Coturnix japonica: one gene and its partners. The protein of the gene in region 2 interacts with the protein of the main gene of each other region in a pairwise test. Links are inferred from orthologs where the notes say so. Each region holds a gene or a part of one and is shown on either strand. Other genes may lie near its edges.

What was found.
Region 1: the proteins of HSPD1 (region 2) and TMCC2 interact in a two-hybrid assay, tested with the Homo sapiens proteins (2 studies listed by BioGRID). The two-hybrid records come from large-scale screens. The link is inferred for Coturnix japonica from reciprocal best matches to the Homo sapiens genes HSPD1 and TMCC2.
Region 3: the proteins of HSPD1 (region 2) and SAMD3 interact in binary tests that used the Homo sapiens proteins (3 or more experiments, as listed by UniProt). The two-hybrid records come from large-scale screens. The link is inferred for Coturnix japonica from reciprocal best matches to the Homo sapiens genes HSPD1 and SAMD3.
Region 4: the proteins of HSPD1 (region 2) and LZTS2 interact in binary tests that used the Homo sapiens proteins (3 or more experiments, as listed by UniProt). The two-hybrid records come from large-scale screens. The link is inferred for Coturnix japonica from reciprocal best matches to the Homo sapiens genes HSPD1 and LZTS2.

What each region holds. Positions count from the first base shown.
Region 1 is NC_029541.1:2,357,898-2,364,073, reverse strand, and holds the start of TMCC2 (transmembrane and coiled-coil domains protein 2), read right to left. Parts: upstream 3,906-6,176; 5' UTR 3,710-3,905; coding exon 3,548-3,709; intron 1-3,547.
Region 2 is NC_029522.1:6,264-12,108, reverse strand, and holds the start of HSPD1 (60 kDa heat shock protein, mitochondrial), read right to left. Parts: upstream 4,007-5,845; 5' UTR 3,871-4,006; intron 3,484-3,870; 5' UTR 3,482-3,483; coding exon 3,308-3,481; intron 1,047-3,307; coding exon 794-1,046; intron 624-793; coding exon 541-623; intron 1-540. Other genes in the region: HSPE1 (10 kDa heat shock protein, mitochondrial), read left to right, coding at 4,509-4,511. UniProt on the Homo sapiens protein: Chaperonin implicated in mitochondrial protein import and macromolecular assembly. Together with Hsp10, facilitates the correct folding of imported proteins.
Region 3 is NC_029518.1:52,441,668-52,447,660, reverse strand, and holds the start of SAMD3 (sterile alpha motif domain-containing protein 3), read right to left. Parts: upstream 3,906-5,993; 5' UTR 3,836-3,905; coding exon 3,700-3,835; intron 3,013-3,699; coding exon 2,826-3,012; intron 1-2,825.
Region 4 is NC_029521.1:20,198,637-20,204,685, forward strand, and holds the start of LZTS2 (leucine zipper putative tumor suppressor 2), read right to left. Parts: upstream 3,906-6,049; 5' UTR 3,686-3,905; intron 3,597-3,685; exon of another isoform or gene 3,504-3,596; intron 2,949-3,503; 5' UTR 2,910-2,948; coding exon 2,478-2,909; intron 2,088-2,477; coding exon 1,518-2,087; intron 1,318-1,517; coding exon 1,048-1,317; intron 958-1,047; coding exon 298-957; 3' UTR 1-297. Other genes in the region: TWNK (twinkle protein, mitochondrial), read right to left, coding at 4,788-5,048, 5,288-5,429, 5,769-5,876. UniProt on the Homo sapiens protein: Negative regulator of katanin-mediated microtubule severing and release from the centrosome. Required for central spindle formation and the completion of cytokinesis.

The DNA of each region.
Region 1 (6,176 bases), on a different chromosome or scaffold from region 2:
GATGGGCCCTGCCCTGACATCCAAACCCCATTTCTCAGGTTTCAGATGCTCACACAAGGCGGGGATCTTATCACCACGACCATAAAGCACAGTCTCACACCAGGTTCAATTATTATTACTATTTCTATTAATAATGTATACCCTTTGCATGCCCAGAGGCTCCAGCCAGTATTCTGCAGCCCATTGGAGGCACTGCATAGAGAGAGTGGAAAACTACCCCTCTGCATCCCACTGCATCCCATTGGATCCCACTGCATCCCATCCCATTGCATCCCATTGCATCCCTCCCATTGCATCCCATTGCATCCCTCCCATTGCATCCCATTGCATCCCATCCCATTGCATCCCATTTTATCCCGTCCCATCCCACTGCATCCCATTGGATCCCACTGCATCCCATCCCATAGCATCCCATTGCATCCCATCCCATTGCATCCCATCCCATTGCATCCCATTGCATCCCATTGCATCCCACTGCATCCCATTGCATCCCACTGCATCCCATTGCATGGCTGCTCCTATCCACCCCATTCCCATTGCATCCCATTGCATCCCATTGCATCCCATTGCATCCCATTGCATCCCATCCCATCCCATCCCATCCCATCCCATCCCATCCCATCCCATCCCATCCCATCCCATCCTAAAACACCCAGCACCTCAGGGCACCAAGGGAGGACAGAACCCTTCGACCACAAATATATAGATGTTCTTAAATGGCAAATAAAGCACTTCCCCCCCCCCACGCTTCTCCTCTTGGGGACAGGAGGAGAGAACAAACATGTGACAAGCGTTAGTCATGTCGCTCTGTGCACTACCAAAGTGCTGTAGTGATATGCAGCTCTGCCTGCAAGCAAATCTGAACCACTGGCTGTGGCTACCAGGTGCTGCTGCAGCTGGGGGTCTCCAGACCCCATATCTATAGGGCATGGAGAGGAGAATCACTGGATGACAGCATGGAGAACGTCAGCCTATGGCTGTTACCTCTGCATTGCTGTTATCAACTGCAGGGACACTGAAAGCACGCTGGGGTTCTTGCTGCAGCATCTGAACATCGCCTGCATGGGAAGATGCTCTCCTTTATGGGGGTTAGGGGCTTAGCATACAGCCCCCATGGGACATGGGGAGCTAATGGGGTCCTTGCCAGCACTCTGGGAGCTGTGGGTAAGTGATGCCCTGGGGAGGTGATGGATGGAGCTGCTCTGGTCACCACACTGCTGCTGGAGCTGCCTGACAGCAGCTCTGCTCCGGCAGCCACAGGGGATCTGTCTCACCTTGGCGGTGTCCTTTTAAGACCAAAATATGCTTGGAAAATTGTTCGTGTGATGGAGTAAATAGAAATGTACCTGCGGGTTGAGAACAGGGGCTGGTGTCCTTTATGGAGAGCTGTCCTCTGCATCCTGCCTGCGAGGCTCACAGCTCAGCCCACCACAATCCCACCCCACTGCTCATGGGGCTGCATAACAGGACCCCCCCTTTCCCCCAATGCTTTTCATCTCCTCAGCTCTAAGAAGCCCCTGAATGGCTGCTCCCCATTGCATGGGGTTGGGTCAGGCCCAAAGAAGGGGAAAGGCTGAGGCCAGTGCTATGGGGTCACCGCTGCTCTCAGCTTTCAGGTTCAGAGGAAGGAAGAGCTGGGGCAGAGAAGATCTAGATGGTGAAACTGGAGATGGAAACGATGCCAGGCTTCAGCTTTCAGCCTGCTGACAGATTGGACCATTGAGGAAAACAGAGAGAAACACACCCAGATCTGAAATGCTTGAGGATACAGGAGTGAGAGCTGAGCACTAAGTGTCCCTATGCAGGGCCTGGTGAGCCCAGAGCTGCAGCCAGGAGGCCTGAGTGCTCCCTGCTGCAGTGTTTGTGTGGCTCCAGCCATTCTGCTGCAGAGCAGAAATCTCCACCACCCAATATATTTTTAAGCAAAACTGTGTGTCATGCATCTGCTCTGCTCCTTGCCAGGACTCCTTTTTTCCCCCCCTCTTTTTCCCTAATGGAGCCTTTGGTCTTAGCACAGGAGTTAGGGCTGGGGAAAGGGAAGCTGGTGGGGCTATGCTGGGGTTTGGGGATGGATTCAATGCAACGCAGCCCTTTGTTTCCACGTTCCCAGCTCAAATCTGTCCTAGCACACAGTTTACACCTGAGGCTCCTTCACTGCCTGCTGGGAGCTGAGTGTGGGGCTGCAGCTCTTAAGGGTGGGCAGTAGGACTTGCAGATAGGACTGCTTCCTAATGATGGCAGCAGTAGGAACTGGTGGTGTTGGTGGCAGGGCCAGCACTGAGCTCCCTATGGGAGCTGCGGGCAGCACTAGGATGCATTTTTTTTCCTGCACGAAGCACATTTGAGGATTGACTCCATAAAGGCAATTAATTATCGGGCTACATCAAGAGGTAAACCTGCATTTGGGCACCGTGCTCACATCAATAAAATCAATGGCAGCCTGGTCACTGCCGTGAGCTGGATGTGGCTGAAGATGGGCCGAGCTCCAGCTTAACACTAGATGTGCATCCAAGGGATGTGGGTGGATTCTTGGGGCTGTTTGGGCAGTGTGGGACCACTTCATCCCATGAGCATCATCACTGCAGGGATATGCTCATCCCAGTGGCATCTCCATCCCAAGAGCATCCCCAAACTGAGAGCATCACCACTGTGGGACCATCCTCAACCCTGGGAGCATCATCATCCCAAGAGCACCCTCATCCCAAAAGTATTTTGCCCTCATCCCAAGAGTATTTTCATCCCCAAAGCAAACCCATCATTGGACTGTCCCCATTGTTTGGCCATCTCTACTGTTGTGGCTTGAACCATCCCTTATCATAGGACCATCCCCATCTTAGGACCATCCCCATCATGGGACCAATCCCACTGTGTGTCCATCCCTCCTGTTGGGCCATCCCCCATCATTGGACCATCCCTATTGTGTACCCATCCCCCCCATGGGACCAAGCCCACCATAGGGCCATCCCTCAAGGTGAAACCTGTAGCATCATGGTGATCACATGCTGGTGCTATTGGTACACATCAAGACACACATCCCCCCAACACCCCAACACCCCAATAGTGGGCTCACACCCACACCCCCCCAGCACCCCACATCCCCCCTATAACCCCCATAACCCAATTGTGGGCTCACACCCACATCCCCCCAGCACCCCACACCCCAATGGTGGGCTCACACCCCCAGCACCCCACACCCCACATCCCCCCTATAACCCCCATATCCCCCCTATAACCCCATATCCCCCCTATAACCCCATATCCCCCCTATAACCCCATATCCCCCCTATAACCCCCATACCCCAATTGTGGGCTCACACCCACATCCCCCCAGCACCCCACATCCCCCCTATAACCCAAGACACCCCAATGTTGGGCTCACACCCACATCCCCCCAGCATCCCATAACCCTCACATCCCCCCAGCACCCCACATCCCCCCTATAACCCCCACACCCCAATGTTGTGCTCACATTGCCCTACCTGCCCCTATAACCCAACTCACCCTCCCAATAACCCCAATGGACCCCCCATCTCCCCCCACTCCTCACCTTCAGGTCAGGCGGTTTGGCTCTCGGTGTGGGCCCACCACCACCACCACCCATCTCCGGTACCTCCCCCGCTTTGCCTTCCATAGCAGCAGCCCCTTGTTGTTCCCCCGTTATCCCGTTATCTTCGGGCTGCTGCAGCTCATCCGAACGGCACCGCTTCATTCCGTCTCTCCGGGTCCTTTATGGCCTCGGTGGTTGTGGTGGCGGTCGGTGCCCTGGCGGCCTTTGTGGTGCCCTCGGGATACGAACCGTCGTCCCTCCCGCTCCTGCCCCGCCGTGACCGGGCCGAGCGGCGGCACCGCGCCTCGGCGGCTCCGCACCCACCGGCATCGCCACCACCACAGATCAGCTTCTTGATTGACATCTCAACCAACCAATAGCAGAAAGCAGAAGGAGGGACCGAAAGCTGCGATTGGTGGATGGAGCAGAGGAGCTGTCAAGAGCGAGGTGCTGAGGTAGCACCGCCGGGTTGTTACTAGTGGGACTACATTTCCCAGAGTGCACCGCGTGGTAGGGGGGGTGAACTACAACTCCCAGCATGCCTCGCGCGCAGCGTCCGCTGCCCTCCTCCCCGTTTGCCCCGCGGCGCCGCCATAAAGGTTCCGTGGGACGCACGGCTCCGCTTCGCACAGTCGCTGCCCCATAGGAGGAGGAAAGCGGAGCCGGTTGGGGGTAGGGGAGGAGGGAGGGTGGGGGGTGGGGGGGGTGGGATAAGACTAGGCCAGGCAGCTGTGGTTAGCGTTGTTTCCTCCGAGAGGGGCGGATAGGCCGCAGCCTGGAGGGGCCGGAGCGTTCCGCGTTGTGGGGAGGGGATATAGGAACGGACACGGAGGAGATGGAGGGTGAAGGAGCCCCTTCGTGGCGGGGTGGGTTGAGCCGGGAGCTGTGTCGTTGTTTCGGACATTACAACCGGCACTTAGCGAGGTTACAGCAGAACCTGAGAGAGACCAAGAAGTTCTTCCGCGACGTCAAATATTCCCAAGGGAACCTCTTCGCTTCGGGGGTGGCGAGCGGTGAAGGGACCCACAGCGGGACCGGCGGAACGAGGGATGGAGGTGAGGCCTACGGGGGTAGGGAGGTTGGGAATCTCGTGTGGGGCCTAATGGGGTGTATGGGGCTGAGGTAGGACCTGGGGCCTATGGGGGGGCGCTGAGGGGTATGAATGGGGCCCTATGGGGTGGGGCTGAGGGGTAGCCATGGGGCCTATGGGGGTGTATGGGGTAAGCTGAAAGGGTGATATTCGAACGGAAAAACAAAGTAGAAAAAAGTTAAAGAATGGGGCCTATGGGGGTTAGAGGTAGAATGGGACCTATGGGGCCTACTGGGGGGGCTTGCCGGGGTGATAATGATGAGGGTGGGCCCTGTGGGGGGGCTGGGGGTATTTAATGGGGCCTAAGTGGGGGGGGGGGGGGGGGGGGTTGATAAGGGGGTGGGGGGCGAGAGGGGCCCCCCTGGGAAAGGGGGGTTTAAGGGAAAAAAAAATGGGCTATGGGTGTATTTGCGGGGCGCTTGCAGGGAGTAGAATGGGCCCGTGCTGGGCTGTATGAGGGCTACGCTGAGGGGTAGAATGGGGCCCTGTGGGGGTGTATGGGGGGGCTGAGGGTTAGAAATGGGGGTGTAGGGGGGGCTGAGGGGTAAATGGGGCCTATGGGGGTAAATGGGGCCTATGGGGGGTAAATGGGGCCTATGGGGGTGTAGAGGGGGCTGAGGGGAAGAATGGGGCCTGATGGGGTGGGCTGTGTGCAGAGTGGGACCAGTTGGTAAGGTGGGATGTGGGGGTTGGAGGGGATAGGTTGTATTTTGCTGTTATGGGGCTGTTATGGCAGGGTGTGGGGTGTGTGTGTGTGTATGGGAATCTGGGCTGATGATGAGGGTGATTTGGGAGACTGTGTTGTTTTCTATGGCTCCCCTTGGTGTGAGGTGGGGATTGGCTTCTTGCAGGTGGTAGCAATAGGTCCAGAAGAGGTGGTGGCCTTATGTTGTGCCAGGGAAGGGTCTCTTGGATACTGTCAGAAATCTCCACTCTAAAAGAGTGGTCAGGCATTGGCACAGGCTGCCCAGGGAAGTGGAAGGTTGAGAACTGTGGGTTTGTGGCAATGAGGGATATGGATCTGCACAGATGGGTCAGAGTTGCGTTTGATGATCTTAGGTGCCTTTTCCAACCTTTATAACCCCATGGTTTGGGAAGGCTTGTGGGCTGCAGCAGGTAGGTGAGCTGTGAGGGCTGCAAGGTGAGCTGTAGCCTATGTCGGGTTGGAAGCTGTGGGGTGTGGGCCAGCCAGGTGAGGTACTATGAGCTGCTGGCTTTCAGAGTGTCCTATGTGCCATGCCATTCATCTATTAGTGTTGACAAACATTTATGCAGTTTGGAGACCTCCTGCCTTGTGCAGAACTCTGTATTCCATCAGACTGTCTCGTGAGAAGACTTCAGCGTGACATTAAATATATATAAAGATCTTCTTTATGCATTTCCAAACAGTTCATGAGTCATCTCTGTTGGCTACTTGTCCATGCTTGTCTTATGCTTGCCGTTCCTATTTGAAAGTGTTGTTGAGCTCCTCTGTTGCTCTGTGTCCAAAAAGAAAGTGTTCCATAGGAACTTTTAGGATAGGAGTAGCTTGCTAAAGAT
Region 2 (5,845 bases):
ATCCACACCAGAACAATACAATGGATACAATGGCTTGTGGCTTCGCGGCAGCCTGAGCTCTGGGCTATACCCCACACGCTGGGTTCATGCAGCACACACATCTGAATCTGCAGCCACAAGAGGAAATGAGCCTCAAAGCCCAACACGCCCACAGCAGGACAAACAGCAGAGCATCAGGCTCAACCTGAACCTCCCACAGCTGATGTGTTACAAATGCTCCCGCAAGTCTGCCATCACCAAACCCACCAATAGCCATTTTTGCTTCCAAATAATCACATTAATGTTTTACAGTTACTTTGTGAAAACAATCCTGATTAAAACAAACTGCCTAGTTCTGAACCAACATTTACCTGAAGACAGAACACTGGGCATCTCAAACAACTCATTCTATGGGTTACCATGGACATCATTCTATGCGATACATTCCAAACCCCAACACATAAAGACAAATACTCAGCTGTTCTGTATCCAAACCTGAGTTCAGAAAACTTTCTGAAGTCAAATTATGTGTTTGTTGTTTTTTTGTTCGTTTGTTTTTACCTGTGCAATTTCTTCTGGAGTTGTAACTGGTTTAGACAGCTTCTTCAGTTCAGCTGTGATGGCATCAACTGCGAGCATCACCCCTAGAGACGAGTGGAATACTTGTCAGTGAACAACACAAGGCATATAGCACAGAAAAAACCCATTTGATTCTACAACAAAAGGCAACTCATTGAGGAAACCAGACAGATTTAGCATGTGCAAAGGGAAAAAGCTAGCAATTAAATATTGAAAACATAGGTGAAAGAATTACCCCTCCTGATTTCCACTGGATTAGCTCCTTTGCTGATCTTCTCAAAGCCTTCTTTGGCAATAGCCCGTGCAAGTACCGTTGCAGTAGTAGTACCATCTCCCGCCTCTTCATTTGTATTATTGGCAACATCTTGAACTAATTTGGCTCCGATATTTTTGTATTTGTCCTTTAAGTCGATTGCCTTTGCCACTGTCACGCCATCCTTTGTCACTTTGGGACTCCCCCAGCTTTGCTCAATAATGACTGTTCTTCCCTAGGGTGACAAACAAGAAACATTAAATGAAAGGCAGATAACAGATAACACAGATAACCCTTAAATCACAGTAAGAAGCCTATGATTGAAACACAGCCATAGGAAGCTCGATTCTTTGTGCATTTTGAACAGAGAAAAGTTACAGATCTCATTGACGATGACTATGAGGAACAGAAAACCCTCAGTGCAATTGCATTCATGTGCCACACTGACTTCTCTAGAATTGGTGGCACTTGCTTTAACTAAAGCTGAACTATCCTAATTAAAGTACAACATTGATAAGGAAAATTAAGGACCGTACAAGGAACACAGGGCAGATATATCCTCTCACACAGGTCCCCAGCCTGAATAGCTGCCCCAATCAATCACACTCCAGACTTTCAGCTGGAGACAGCAGAAGCAACCACCTCCCTAGCACTGCTGCCCTGAATCTCTTCAGCTACGGTGACAGCTGGAATACTCGGAGGTGGGGAAGGGAGACCAAACACCCACCTCACTGCTCTCACTGCCAGCACAAGTCCCCTCAGGTGGCCCATCAGGCCCAGCTGGGTGCTCACGCTGCTGTGGCTGTGTGCCAGCGTGGCTTCAGCTCTGAGCAGAGCCTGGCTTACAAGCCCAGCTATCCAAGGACTCGGATACAGCGTGCTACCACTGTGGTGCACCATGTTCCCTGCCCACTCACGTCTGCCTCAGTGTTACAACTATGCAACGCTGCCGTGCAAGAGGCTACGTGGCTCCTGAAGTACAATTAGCCCTAGGAACTGCGTAAAAGAAATGTAAAGCTTCAGTTACCAGCTCTGTGCACGTGAGAGAGCCGGTACATGGCTCATTCTGTGCTGCAGAACAATTACATCAAGTTAATATTTAACACAAGTTTTTAGTGCTATTTCATTCAACCTACAATGTTACTAAATCCAAAGAAGTCCTTCCTCCCCTCCTTGGTTTGCTCCATTTCATTCCTGGTTTTGAACAGGCCTTATTCCAAATGGGTTTGGTAGTTAGGAGTAACTAAGGAAAACCTACTTACATCCCATCGCATTGAACAGCTTACACTCAACATGAGGATGTGATGATTGTGAATAGAGGAAACACACTTGCATTATGAGTGGCCCTGCATATCAAGGACTACAGTGACAAAGCAATGGGCCTGTTGGCAGCAATGTCAAAAGATTGTGCAAAACTGGAAATCATGCTCCTTTAAATATGAATGAGTGCAGAAGGGAAGTTTCCTCATAAGTCTGGTATTTCTTCAACATGCTGGAGGCTGTATCAGGAGGTGTTACAGAACCATCAATCTCTACAAATACCTGGAGACCAGCAGATGCACTGAGTGCAAATGAACAAGGATTCCATGAGGTTGCACTACGTTGCATCAGGATGTGCCCTTTAACCAGCACATTAAAGCCAAGCTCAGGCATTCACAATGCAGCCTAAGCCCAAACCAAGCGTTAAATCAGCTGATGACACTGCAGCCTCTTATTGAGAGCTGTTCTTATGGAAAGCAGCCAGAGATTGCTGACATCGCTGCTCCTCAACCTTAACTGTGTCCAGTTAATGACACTTGGAGCATGTGAAGCTCCAAAGGTGTGCATAGGAGAAATAATTTAATAGGTACCAAGCAGCCTTGAGAAGATTAACAGATAACAGGTCTGAAATCATAGAGAAATCACTATCTGAACCTGATTTGGAACAAACATTGCTACAGATGTGAAGTAAAAAGGCATCTGCTCCTTTAGCAGGAGCCTCATTTTGTGTTGTATGACTGTGCGGAACACAGCAGCTCATTTTCTTGCAGAGGTTCCCAAACTGCACTGCACCCTACAAGCAATAGATGCCCCTGCCATGGATTTTCCATCAAGGTTAAAGCATTTCAGAGCTGGCTGCAAGCTCAGCATTACGCCTTGAGTGTTTCCACTTTGCTGCTGGTAGGAGATGAAAGGATACAAAGCTGTAATTTGGCCCGATAATAAATAAGCGCTAATGTAACTGTTCCCTTTGGAAGGAGTTAATTATCTACCACGCCGTTAGGGGCAGTAACTCGAGCCAACACGCGGTCGCCCCCTTGCCGTCCTTAGTGCCTAAAGGAAGGCAGGCGCCCCTCACAGGGAGCAGCGGCCCGTCCTCCTTTGTGCCCACGGGATCGATGTGAACATGGCCACGCAGCTCTACCCACGTGCAAGTAACGGGACTCCACGCACACTATCGTCGCCTATCGCCACGTTTTAAGGCACGCCCGCAATAGCAGCCCGTCCCGCCGTTACCTTGGGCCCCATGGTGACGGCTACGGCATCTGCCAGCAGATCCACCCCCTGCAGCATCAGGGCCCGCGCGTCCGCCCCGAACTTCACATCCTTGGCGTAGGCCCGAGTCAGGTGCGGGGCGAGCGCTCGGGATACCGGCCTGATCTGGCGGAGTACGGCGGGCAAACGGAGCATGTCTGGGGGGTAAAACCCGATGTTAAAGCCATACAGATTTAAAGCAGCACATGGTCCGCCCGCAGGCCGCGCTCGGAGCCACATGCCCACCCGTCCCCACAGCAGGACGCGCCGCAAGGTCAGAGCCCGCCGCCCCCTGCCGGCCACAATGCAGCCGGCCGCAACACAACGGGGCTGTGAGGAGCCATAGCAGGGCTGCACACATATACACACACACACACACACACACACACCGGACCAGGCGTGCAATGGGAGCAAGGCCGCCCAAGTCAGCACGCGGCGCTCCCTCAGCACCACCACATCGCTGTGAGGAGCGGCCCGCCCCAGCACAGCACGGCTCAGCACAGCTCCGCACGGCACAGCACAGCTCAGCTCGGCTCCCCACTGACCTGCGTTGTGCCGGCGGCGCGTCCCGTAGCGCTGTGTGTGCGTTCTCAGCTCTCCGCTCCGCACGGCGCTCAGGGCGGCGCGCACTCACACACTCACACACTCCCTCACATGGCCCCGCCCCCGCCGGGCACACACTCATGCGGCCGAGCCCCGCAACCTGCATAGCGTCTGGGTCCGCCCATAGAGGAAAAAAGGATCTAGGCGTACGGCGCGCTCTGCGCATGTGCAGGAGGCTCCGAGCATGAATCACCCATGTTCCGGGGCTCGCCAATTCCAGAACCTTCTGGAATGCCCATGCTCGCCCCGGGTCAGAGGGCGGCTGACTTCACTTCCGGGTGGCAGCACCACCCCGGTCCCGGCCCGGCCCCGAACCGAACCGCCACAGCACCGAGACACACAGCGACACACCGGGACACACAGCGACACACCGGGACACACAGCGACACACCGGGACACACACCGGGACACACACCGACACCGGGACGGCGGATAACGGAGCCGCGGCACCGGGCGGCACGGCTGGGGGCGGGGCGGGGCCAGGAGCCAGGGTCGGCGGCTGCGCATGCGCACGGGGTGACCTTCCTCACGTGTGCTTGGAGCGGCGCGGTCACTCGGAGCGGAGCGGGACGGAGCCGCCATGGTGAGTGAGTGTGTGAGTGAGTGTGTGAGTGAGTGTATGTGTGTGTGTGTGCATGTGCCCCCACAGCCGGCACCGCGATTGACCACACGCTCGGCCGCGGCCCCGTGTTCCCGGCCCTGCGCTCCTGCGTGGGGCTGTGCCCGCTGCTGCGCCCCGCCCGTCCGCAGGGCAGTAGGCCGCACTATGGGGGTGTCGGCAGCTTGGTGCTGCTGGAGGGTAATTGATGGTGATTGATGGTGATTGATGCGGCCGGTGGGGCTGTGGGGGGATGGAGGCAGGCAGGGATAGAGCGGGTGAGCCCTTCGTTGCAGTCCTGCCTTAGCGCCCTATGGACGCTCGGTTAGACCGGCCCGGAGCTGGGAGTGGGTTTGCAAGGTCACCGAGTCCTTGGGGGCTGCGTTGGGGGCCGCAGGAGCGGGAGGGAAAACGGAGCTGCTGGTGCTGTGCTCTGTAAGCTGCTCCCATCCAGGGCTTCTCTGCAGGAGCCCTAAGGGCACAGCTGTCCTTGTACCTGCGTCAGTGTATCGTTATTAAGATCCTTATAAAATTAGGAAACGTAAAGTGGCCAGCGCTGGAAAGGACCACGATGATCATCTCGTTGGTGAGAGCAGGCAGAAGGACACAGTGTTACCTGAAGCTTAGGCACAAAGTGGCAGCATTCTGCGTTCTGATTGCAGTTGAACAGAACGTTTGGTTTCAGGGAATCTAAAGAGAAAGAGATCAGCACTGGTATTTTCTTAGAATGAACATCATCCCGGTTCACAGTCATTTCCATGTCTTGCATCATTCCAGTAATAGCAGTTTAGCTGGGGATGCATCTCTCACACGTTGCCTACAGCTTCGTTTCCCCCTAGTTTTAAAGCTCCAGTGCTGATCAGTGTCAGTGGAGGGTGCCCAGCTGCCAGGCTGCTTCTAGCCATTTCAGTGAGCCCAGGGTACCTGCCTTGCATCACACTGTCTCCATGTGGCTTGGCAAGGCTCCATAGCTTTCCTCCTAAACCACAGCAAATTCCTTTTCCTGCCCCTGCTTAGCAGGGTGCTGTGCTTGCCTTCATCTCCTGTGTGGGAGCTGGAGTGCTGCTTCCATTCCAACTAACAGCAGTCTTCATTTGGACTTCAGACTTGATTAATTCTCTTACATCACCTGAAATGCCATGCCTTTAAACTGCCCAAAAAAGACAGGCACCAGCTACAGGCCTAGACTGACAGTTTGTTACTATAAAATACTCTGCTACGGTGAATGAAAACGCAGCTGCCCTCAGTCTTGACTGAGTTCTGTCTTTGTGATCACCGAGCTGTTCTCAGTGAGCCGCTGTTCTCAGTGAGCCGTACTA
Region 3 (5,993 bases), on a different chromosome or scaffold from region 2:
AACAAAATCCAAGAAAATGAACCTCTGGCTTGCAGGATAACTTTCACCTTCATTGCCTGACATTTCCCAGTCACTAAGCATAAATACAAATATTGTATGCAGGGATGGGGAAGAGAAAGAAAGTTACACAGTATTTAATGGCAGTTTATATTCAGCTAGAACTTTGGAACTTTTTTTTCCACCTTTTGAAGGCTGAGCCCATCTTGAACCTTTGAATTAGTTTTACATTACTCCAACCATCCTAACACCTCTGTGAACACTACCCAATCTCACCTCTGTCTGTTCCTGGTTATTTGCTCTAACTTCAGCTAGTCACTTGCTCCAAAAACTTCTGATACCCACATTACTGCATGCCAGAAATCCCTACTCCAAACCACTTGCCTTCATTTCACCTTTGCATCCTCCTCTCTCCCCTCCTCACTTTACTGTTATTTCTTCTTGTGCTTATAGGAAGCAATATTTGACAGTTTTACCCTGTAAGACAGGGGCTATTGGAATGCTGTCAGCTTTTGGGTTTTTTTGTTTTGTTTTTTTTTTTTTGCATTACAGATCAGAAGAAGCTGGTGACTTTGTTAGGTAGATGTTAGGTGTTGCATGTTTGCCTATTCTTTCTTTTCACCATAATTAATTAGGCTCTGCCTTATCAAAGTTAAAGCTACACAGAAGCAGGAAACAGTTTAACAGATATTCTTCACCAACAGTACATTATGTACAACAAGATGCCCATCAACACAGATTCACCCTAATGTGAGTCTGAGTCATTCTCTAGTCATTAACTGAAACACATAAAAAAAATTCTGGATGAAGCCACCAATGTGACGTTATTACCAGTTTTGCTACTGTAAGCGCTGCTGCTAAAGCCTCTCTGAAAATTGCTAGAACTTGTCTTAGGGGAAGAGTAAATATGCACTGATACACTAGATCTTCCACAGACTATGACACTTTTCTTTTGGGAAGGCATAACTTCTTTCTATGACCCATCTCTTCAGAAGCTCTGAACTAGAGGATGCTCTGTAAACTGTTCCATCCTCAACTACACTCACATGAGATGCTGTTGCTATAAGTGACATCGCTGTTGGCCAGATTTGTATGAGGAGTTTCCCTTTTTCATGAATCAATGCATCTTGAAGTCACGCATGTTTCCAGACATCCAATTAAAATCAGAGAAATCTGATACTGTCCTTCAGTGGTGTATGGGAAATTGGTAATCACAGCCTGAACCTCTGATTAATCAGCTGAGGCAAGTTTCGGGTCAGCTGTGGGAACACAGGTGAGGGTAATTCAGCTGTGCTCCCGGAAGGGGTGGAGCCTGACTCTACCTTCTCTAGACTTTATTTAAGGGCTGACCGCCACTGAAGCAGCATCTCTTTGAGATTGCTCCTTGGTAGAGATTGTCTCAGTGTTTTCTAGCAGACTGAAAGCCTCTATTGGGTGAGTCTTTCTTTTAAATAACCTTTTGGATACTTATCACCACCTCTCTTGTACCATCTTTACATTATTGTCACTATACATCAATGTACATGTGGCTTCTACCTTCAATCATACTTGGAGGTCAAAAGTATCTTGACAATTACTTGGTAATGTCTCTATATCAGCTTCTCATATGTAAACAGTTTCTACTGCTTGGCTCAGAAGTTCCCCACCTTCCCAGTAATGAACACAAGATCCTATTTCTTAATTGTCCCAGTCTAAACTACTGGAAATGACTACTGCACAGAAAGCATTCACTTACTGCACTTGGAACTATATCCTGTAAACAGATTTAGTTTTGTTCCCTAAAAGGAAAGGAATTGAGCTAAATTCAGTTCATGTACAGAAGGAAGATACACTGAGGACAAGATGAAGAAGAGGGCAAGCAGTAGTGCACCCTCAAGTGCTAGGGTAGTATTGATTTAATTAGCGTGTCAGGGAAATACAGCTGATAGCTCTTGGAATCTCAGCAGCAGGAGAGACAAGGTAGTTTATCTTCACATGGACTCAGGCACCACTGTCACAGTGATGACTCAGCCATAGCTGACACTAGCAGGAAAGCTTCATGTGGCAACAATGCTCATACAGCAAACACTGAAATTCAGGCTTACATCTTTAAGCAACACAAAATGCAATATAATGAATGCTGTGGATCTATGAATCTTTGTTTCTTGTACAGAGAGAGTGAAATTATTACATTGTCACAGAATGGACTGGGCTGGAAGGGATCTCAAGGATCGTGAATCTCCAACCCTCTGCCACAGGCAGGGCCACCAACTTCCATATCTAATACTAGACCAGGCTGCCAACGGCCCCATCCAACCTGGTCTTGAACACATCCAGGGACGGGGCATCCACAACCTCTCTGGGCAGCCTGTTCCAGCACCTCACCACTCTCGTGGGTAAGAACTTAACATTACTTCAAAACAACATTTCCTATATACTGTTCCAGTCAGGAGTCTTTAAATGAAGTCATTCTTACTGGGCCTTGTTCAAAGAGCATTTGAAAATAACAGCCTCAAAGGTTTAATACAGCAAATACAGAAAGTTTCAACGAAAGTGAAAGTTCAGGAGTTTGATGACAATTTGTGCAAATTAAAACTGAATTCTAGAGCCAGAACTGATTAAAGTAATGGTAGCAATGTTGATGCTCATGTGGTAATGTCTATATTTCACATTTAACACACTGTTAGAGATTATTCAGAGTTTACATTTATAGTAATGACTTTTTTTTTCTTTTTGGAATTTCTGAAGTTTTGAAGTTTTTACTAGCTCTCTAGCTAGTAAACATCAGATCTGAAGTACTACAGAAAGAATAATTTCATATCAGACTGATGTTTTCTGTATGTACTCACCCACTGATCTCAGGAAGCGTTGGCAAACCTGCTTCACAGACACATGCAAAGGATTGCAGCCCACGTTTTTGTTGCTTGTAGTTATTAATCAGGTCCATTAGCAATGCTTGGTGCCCGATCTTCTTCACCAGCTGCTGCACCATACGATCATTCAGAGCCAACAGAGCTGCTCCACTTACTTCTTCTGCTGATTGAAGGATATTACAATCACTTTGAAGTAATTTTAAAGCTATAGAAACATCCTACATGGCTAGAAATGGGATGGTATTTTAGGACAAAATCAAAGATACTTTCTATTAGTGCTCTGTTTCTTCAGCTGCTTTAAAGAAATGATGTCTTTTAGGTACTGTCCTTTCCACTGCCAGAAGTTCAAGTCAGTGCCCAGTGATCTCTTACCTTCCAGTAAGAGAATGCTATGTCTGAAATGCACAGAAGCAGTGAATTAATATTATAATTCTTAAAATCAGACCTTACTTTGACCGCAGCAGATTGTTGGATTGTTCGTTTTGTTTTTCCATAATGAAGAAGTGCAAGGAGCACACAGCACAGAGCATGTTCACCTTGCAGTTTCTCCTGTACTTTTTTAGTGTTTATATACACAAACACATTTAGAGTATGCACCCTCTGAAATAATGCAACTGTAGCGGTATAAAATAGAACCTGTTATGCTTGTAGCACTGACAGCTGTCTCTCAAGAGAAAGCGCACCTCTTTACAAGCAGCCTTAGACTTTCCCCCTGTGCTTCTCAAAGACCACATCACAAACTTGCACTTATTTTAGCTTACTTGCATGCCAGCCCCCAAACAAGCTAAGTAAACAATTAAAAGCATTTTTAAAAGATAAAAGAAACTCAGAAACAACAAGAATTGCCTACCACGAAACTTAGGAACTAGTTCTGCTAAATTGCTCTGTCTCAGCCAGTTGCAGACTTGATCCACAGACCAACTTTCCATCGTTAGGTTGGCACAGCTAAGTTTCACTGGGAAGCGAAAAGAGAAGACTATTTTCATGCAGAACTAGAGGAAAAAAATATAGAAAGAATAAAGTACTTTGCGAATGCACTTATGTTTACATGCTCTGAAAAAAGAAAGAGTGAGGATAATCCAACTAATGCCTGTCGCGGGTGGCAGCTTCCTTAAATCTCTTTCCTCACCTCCTCTCCTTTCGCCGCTTTCTCTCTGCTCCCAGAGACAGCCTCATTCCTTATAAAACACGACCTGCTCCATCACCATTAACACCCAGGTTTCCATACAGAGAGGAAAAAAAAAATAAGGTGTGAAATTCACCACCACCGCGGCTGACATCTTAAAGAAAGACACACACAAAAAAGGAAAGACAACCAAAACCATCGGATAAGAGTCTGTCGTTTGTATGCTTGTAGAACATCAAGCACATTAACCCCTTCTGCACAACCAATGGGTAGTCAGGCAAACGCTTAACAGCCAATTAACGACAATTAGTGACATTAAATCTGGTGGGGTGGGGAGGGAACAGTCCCCGCTGGCAGCCTCTGGTCGCGTTCCTCAGGCAACAGGAGGCTCCGGAACGAGGTGACACCGTGGCGGGACGGGTACATCCCCGGAGTGCCAACTCTGACAGTAGAAAACTCTCTGAGAATGATTTTACTCTTAATGTGCCTTAGCTCCACTACATAAGGGAGCACCTAATGTGCCATAATTGTGCTTTGCAATCCACTCTGGACAATATTAGAGCAAATCATACAGGCAAGATTTTTCAGATGTGAACATGAGTGTCTGACGTTGTCAGCTAAGTACTTCCTTGCTCAAAACACGACCTAGCTTACTAGTTCCTAGGTTACCTTGTATTGTGGTTGGTACCCCATTTCTGGAGACTTTCAATGTGAGGCTGGATCAGGCCCTGGGCAGTCTGATCTAACTGCGGTGCCCCTGTGCTCTGCATCAGAGTTGGACAAGGTGGCCCTCAGAGGTGCCTTCCAACTCAAAGGATTCTATGATTCTGTACACAGCCTTGCTCTGCTGTCAGAGCAACGTTGGTATACCCATGCAAACCTCAGCAGTACCTATTCTATGGAACTACCAAGAAAAAAGTAAATAAATAACTAAGTAGCATACCACCATTTCCCCTCAACTGCAGAGATCCACCAAGACAGACACACTCAGATTATGCCGGTACCCTTCAGCAGCTTAAAAGGGTTAAGTTTAAGGGGAATGTCTTGCTGAATTACACAAGTGGATTTAATATGATATGACAACAGTAGCCATACAACTCCTCCCCCAGGCTAAGCAGCAATAACAGGGTGTGAGAAGTCATTATTTGCTGAGAACTCTGGTGTAAATTAAAAATCACACCTTCTTGTCACACTTTTTACTTCATTGCAAAGAATGAGACTCAAAAAGTCTCAAAAAAAAAACCAAATCAAACCAAAAAACTTGAAAGGTAAAACTTAATGCAAAGCAGAACTATACTATCCTTAATAACCAGTAGAAAAGTAGAGAGATACATTAAAATGGTGGAAAGGTCATTACTTCAATCCAGTAGAAGGTCTGCATCCCAGAATAGTTATTGCTAAAGCAGACATGGAGATACTAACATTTAAAAAGCATCAAGCAAATGACAGCCATGAAAAGCCATATACACTTTTATCACTGTGCAACCAACTCTACAGCACAATGTCCATTTGCACATGGAAATGTGGGTTGTGCACTTTAGGGATAATAAAGTGATGACAGTTTAGAAGTTTATTTAAAGAACATAATATTAAGGGTCACTACACACAAACTTCAAAATATGTCTCAAAAGTGCTTGCTCACTTCCTTGCAAATATTCCAGATAGGGGAGCTGGGAAAATAGCACTCTAGTCTTCTATCAGCATTCACTTGTGAGAAATAATCTATGGCACTGCAGACTACAGATACATTAATCTTTAACAGACCTCTACACGGCTGTCAGTGAGGTCACAACAAAGGTTTTAGTGCATTTTAGGACCAGAGTGAAGAATGTGATGTATGCACTCCTTTATGTCACAAATATGTGACAAATTTGGCACAGAGTCAGATCTCAGCATTACAAGTGTGAAGATTAGGAATTGATGCATATCATAAATAAAACTCAAGTGTTACCTGTGTGTATTTTTGAATTCTATCTTAATTCATTTTTATCTTTGTGTGCATTACAGAGATGTATTAT
Region 4 (6,049 bases), on a different chromosome or scaffold from region 2:
AGGTGACAACGCACCCTCCCCAAGGTGACCCTGGCTGAAGTCAGCACGCTAATCCCTGGCTGCTAAGAGGATCAGCAGGAACCAGCTTTGAGACATGGCACCCCCTCGGCTCCACAGCTCACGGGCACCCCCTGCCATGGTGCAGCCAACACAACCTCAACCTACACCGCGATGCTGGGGAGGGGGCAGCACCTGAGGTCCCCAATGCCCCCTCCCAGTGCATAGCAGTGGTAAGCGGGAACACCCGCTCTCAGCCCCACAGCTCCCAACATCCCAGGGGCTGTGGCAGGCAGTGTCTCAGATCTCAGTGGCCGTGATCTCCTCAAAGGGCAGATCGGGGCCGGGGGTCTCGCAGGGTTCTGTCGGGGGTTCCTCTCCCTGCAGCCGGAGGTGTTGCAGCCGCTGCTCCAGGCGCCGGTTGCGGCGGTACATCTGCACGTAGTTCAGCTGCAGCTGCTTCTGGTACTGGATCACCTTCTCCTTCTCTCCCTGCCACGTGCTGCGCTCCTGCTCGAAGGCGTCCCGCTGCTCCTGCCCGCGCTGCCGCTCCAGGGCCACCTCTGCCCGCAGCCTCTCCAGCTGCCGCTGCAGCCCCGCCATGCCCCGCAGCTCCTCACCGGACTCGGGGCAGCCCTCGCTGGGCTGAGGGCAGCATCCTCGGGCGGCATCCCGCAGCCCGGCCACCTCCTGCTCCAGACGGCCCGCTTTGGCACGGAACAGGTCAGCCTCGCTCTTGCGTCGCTGCAGTTCATTGGCGCACACCTCCAGCTCCAGTGCCTTCAGCCGGGCGGCCTCCTGCAGCCCCCGTGCCTGCTGCTCACCTGCCTGCAGCTCGGCCCGCGCCTCGCGCAGCTGCGCTCGCAGCACCAGCAGTTCCGTACCGCGCTGCGCCAGTTCTGCCTGCGACTCCTTCAGCTGCTGCTTCAGCAGGGAGATCTCACCCGACTTCTGGCACACCTGTGGACAGCAGATGCTCAGGCACCGGCCACGGCCCCACCCTGGCCCCCGAGTGACAGGGACACCACGGTTGTTCCCAGCATAGCTCACCTCCCACTTGGTCTCCTCCAGCCGTGGCCCCAGCTCAGTGTGCTCCCGCTGGAAGGATGCGCAGCGACGCTCCAGCAGCTCCCGCTCCTGCAGCAGCTGAGCAAAGTCCTCCTGCAGTTGCTTCTTCTCCTGCTGCAGCTGCAGCACCTGGAGCTGCAGGACCTGCTGCCCACGCTGCGCCTGCTGGGCCGCCTGTCGCACCTGGGCCGCACAGCGCTGCCGCAAACCCTCCAGCTCCTGCTCACAGCGACGCTGCTTCTCTTCATACACCTGGGCACAGGCACACGCTGAGATGGGACATCCCACATCCCACACCACCTCCATGTCTCCCCAAGTCAGCATCTACAATCTCCATGGGGTTCCCCAGACACATCACTGCATGCATAACCCAAATCTACACAATAGGACTATATGGGCACCCCCAGCCCTGAGAGCTCCCCTGGTTCTCCTTACCCTTATATGGTTCTTACCTGGCAGATGGCCACCTCATTCTCATCCAGGCTGTCCCGCAGCTGCTGCAGCTCGGCCTCCCTCTCCCGCAGCTTGTCCTCCAGTTCACGCACCAGCAGAACCTCCTCACCAGGCAGCGGCGAGCGCCCGCAGGAGCCACTCTCGGAGGAGGGCCGGCCCCGGCCACTCAGCGAGCCCGTGCTTTTGCTGGAGGATGAGCGCCCACTGTCCGAGTTGGAGGGGCCGGCTGGTGGGCGGTAGCCACCTGGGGGCTCAGGGTGGCTGTGAGGGGTGGCTGTGAGGTTGCCAGGCTCAGTATGTTGGCTGCAGCCTGTGCTGTAGGTGGGCAGGCTGGACAGAGAGTTGCGTCCCGAGTCTGAGAGCGTGCCTGAGTGGCTGCTGGTGCGGCAGCTCAGTGAGCCAGGCTTGTCGGCCCCGGTGGTCCCCAGCAGGTGGGTGAGGCTCACCTGGCTCTCTGATAATGCTGCAGCCCCTGGACGTACCCCTTGGCTGGCCGGGCCCGGAGCAGCCCTGACTTTGGGTACCACCGGTTTGAATGCCATAGGGCGGATCAGGGTCTTCTCCACATTCTGCAAGGCAAAAGAGGAGAGAGTGGGATCTGGGGACCAGGTACACTCCAGAGGTGGCCTGGCAGATGCTGGGGATGCTGCCAGAGCACCAGGGAGGACTTGGTAACCCCACCAATTCTGCTCCCACCCAACACCTCAGAGTGTCACAGCTCTATAGAAGATGACCACTAGGTGCCCTCTGCTCCATGCAGCAGTTTCAGACAGGCTCCCACACACACATGGCCACTCCTGACATGAGGAAGAGGGCAGCAGGAGCACAGAGATCACCACCACCCCCAGCGACATGGACCATGTGCTCTCTCTATGCATGCACCAGCACGTCTCCCCAAGCCCAGCAGCCCCAGTGCAGCACAGGGCTGAGCAGATCCCCCAGCACTGCTTCCACCTTACCTCTTCTAGCTTGCCAGAGACAGGGACAAGCTTGGGGGGCGGCCCCCGGATGCCACCACTTGGGGCTTGTTCATCCCGTGCCTCGTCTGAGTCGCTGCAGGGGCTGACGGGAGAGGCTGCCTCCAGCCACTCCCCATGAAAAACTTCATTGGTGTAGGCATGGGCAGTGGCTGAGCACGGCTTCTTGGGGGGCAAAGTGTGGAGCAGGGGATCCGGGGGGCTGGCTCGCAGCAGCGTATCCTGCACACGGAAGGAACCACCAGCACCAGCAGGCTGGCAGGAGCGATCGTGGCATGGTCGGCTGGCAATCAGGCTGCCCACACTGCCCATGGTGCCGTGGGTGGGCAGGGGGGAGCGGGTGGCAGTGCGGAGCTGGGCAGCAGCCTCAGGCGTGGCCTCGATGGAAACTGGCAGTGTCTGCACAATGGCCATGGCAGGGGGGCCCCCAGCGGGCAGGGGGGCGCAGGCAGCCTGTAAAAGAAAGGCAACGTGAGGCCTTAAGCAATAAACTCACTCACTCATCCCATAGGACACCAATGAATATAGGACCCCCATAATGGCGCAGGCAGATGTGGGATGGCTGCAAGAGATATGCCGGGCATGAGCAGGCGTCGAGCAGAACAGCATAAAGCTGGGATTAGCCGGAGCAGGGGGAGGCACGGGGCATGCAGGGGGCTCACGCAGCACCAGTGCTCCCGTGCAGGGCCCAAAGGAAGAGCCCCACAGGGGCAGCCCCATGCACTCAGCAGGGTCCCCACTGCGTAGCAGTCACGGTGCCTTCTCTGCCCCACTGCTCCCGGTCCTGCACCCCTGCTCTGCCCCACAGCGCTGCCTACACTGCCATACCTCAGCTCCAGCCTCAGAGAGACGCCCCAAACACCTCATCCTGAAGCATCCTCCTCCCCAACCCCCCCAACCCCGGCACCAACATCACCCCGCTCCCCAATCCCGTCCCTACACCCCTCTCTCCCACAGCTCACGGTCCCCACTCCGCCCCCTCCCCCCGCCCTGGAGCTCCACACCGACGCGTCCCCCCGGGCCGAGCCGGACCCACCCGGGCCGGGCCGCCCCATGATGCGCTCGGGCCGCCGCGCTCCGCCCGCCGCGCTGGCACCGCCCCGGGGCCGCCCCCCGCTTCCACCGCCCCCAGCATCACCCCGGGGTGACGCCGGGCCCCCTCTCCCGTTGCGGGTCGCCCCGCTTCTCACCTGGCCGGCCGCGGCCCATCCGTCCGGCGGGTCCCGGCCCGACTCCGCCGCCCCCTGAGCCGGGAAAAGGAAGAGAGAGCGGGGTCAGGGCCGCCCCCCCCCGTCCCTCCTCTCCGTAGCGCCCCACTGTGTCCCCGCGGGTCCCACCGGCCCGTTCCGGCCCAGGCCCGGCCGCCCTCGCTCACGCTCCGCTCCGCACCGCCGCTCTCCGCCGGCCCGGCCCGCGCCAGGCCCCGCCCGCCCCGCCGCCCCCGGCCCCCGGCCCCGCGGCGGATGGGAGGCGGCAGGGGGTTGCCCTACGGCCGGGCCGCGGGGCAGCGACGGCAGCGAAGGGCCCTCAGGGGGCGGCAGGGCCTCAGCCCGCACCACGGCCCCGCAGGCAGCACGGGGGGGGCTGCGTCCCGCTCACCTCCACATCCCCGTCCTCCGCCATGGGCCCGGCTCCCGGCGCGGCGGCCAATGCCTCCTCCCGGCCCCACGCGTGGGAGCCGTGGGGCGCGGTGGCGGGGAGGTGCCCGGTGCTGGGTCAGCGCTGGGGCGGGAGGTGTGTGTGTGCGTGGGGCCATGGGGCCCCGCTGTGCCGTCCTGCCCCACGCACAGCATGGACACGGGGCTGAATGGGACCCAAAGTTGGAGGGATGGGGGATGGGAGCACGGGGACGCTCATGCAGCGAAGGACAAACAGCTTGAACAGCTCTGCTTTAATAAAAGTGTAAAGAAAACAGAGGGATGGGCCAAAAGCCCACGGCGGGCTCCCCTGTGCTGGGGAGGACTGGCTCAGACACAGTGTTTTGCCATGAGAGGCTCCGAGGCGCCCAGGGCTGTGTCCCTGAGGCATTGCTGCTACTGCTGCTGGTGGTACATGTGGCCAGAGGGGCCGGGCTCAGAGCCGGCAGAGCTGCACTAGCACCACACCGTGCGGGAGGTAAACCTGGGCCATCAGCCTCCACTTAGCAACCCTATATTGACCTGCTCAGGGTACAGAGACCCCAAAGCCTGCACATCCACTCCTCTCCCATCTCCCAGCATCGTGCTCTGCTCAGGAGGAGCGCAGCCGCACGGCACCTGGTGTGCCCGAGTACCAAGGTTGTCCCTGCCACACTCAGGGCTTGCCAGAGCCACCCACACCTCCTCCATTGGGACCCTTCTTGGGTGAAGGCGCCTTCTCCTCCTTCACCTTCTTCAGCTTGGCCTTGCTTTTGCCGTAGGAGGAGAAGGTGAGCGAGGCCTTGTTGAATTCCAGCGGGAAGACGCCTACATCGCCATCAAAGCGGTTCTTGGACACCTGCAGGTAGCGCTTCCCGGGACCCGTCGTGAGCTTGCGGTCCTGCAGGATGAGGACGTTGTCGGCCTCCTGGCTGGCCTGGGGGAGGAGAACATCTCCAGGGGGTGCTGCAGGGCACGGGGCACCCCCACACCCAGCGTCCTCCCTGCTACCCCACGGAGCAACTCATGCCACATCCCACCCACAGCTGATGAGCATCAATCAGCCGCGTGCCACCAGATGGCAGGGGACACCCAGCCCCACTGCAGCACAGTTTGGGTCACGGCGACGTGCCAATGTCCCCACCCTGTCCCCGCCTGAGGCCCAGGAGGAGCCACCTTGGCAGAGCCGAAGATGGAGGCGGTCTGCAGCTCCTTCTCGTCGTCCTCCTTGCGCGGGTGGATGACCAGCGTGATGTGGCACGTGTTGTCGGTGGCAAACTTGCGGAAGGCGCCGACGATGAAGTCCTGTGCTGCCAACCTGCAGGGGAACAGCAAGGGGGCAAATGGGGACAGTGCCACAACCCCATGTGTGTCAGCGCTCAGTGGGGGTGACTGCCCCAAAATGGGACAGGTTGGATATTAGGATCATTCTTCTCAGAGAGCAGTGAGGGACTGGAATGGGCTGGTGGTGACATCAGCCTTCCTGCAGGTGTTAAAGATGTGGCACCAAGGGACATGGTTTAGTGAGCACAGTGAGAATGGCCTGGGTTTGGACTCAATGATCTTTGAGGTGTTTTCCAATCCAAATGATTCTAATGTGGGCTCCTACACCAGACAGGACAGCCAGGTGGTATCACTACTCCCAGAGAAGCATTACCTGTCTGCAGAGAGCTGCTCGTGGCCCATCATGAACTGCAGGTTGTCCACCACCACGTGGGTGATGTCATACATGTAGACGGCGTGCTGCATGGTGTCAAGCACTGTCCTGCAAGGGGAACACCAGCATTGGGGACACCCAGCCAGGCACAGGGGGAGGTGGCAGCACCACCCAAGATCTCCCTCCTTCCTTTCCTCCACCCCCCCTCCACCAGTTGGATGCCACTGTGCAGCCCAGTGAGCCACCCTTTGCCACCCCAACCACCACAGTGTGCCCAGCCC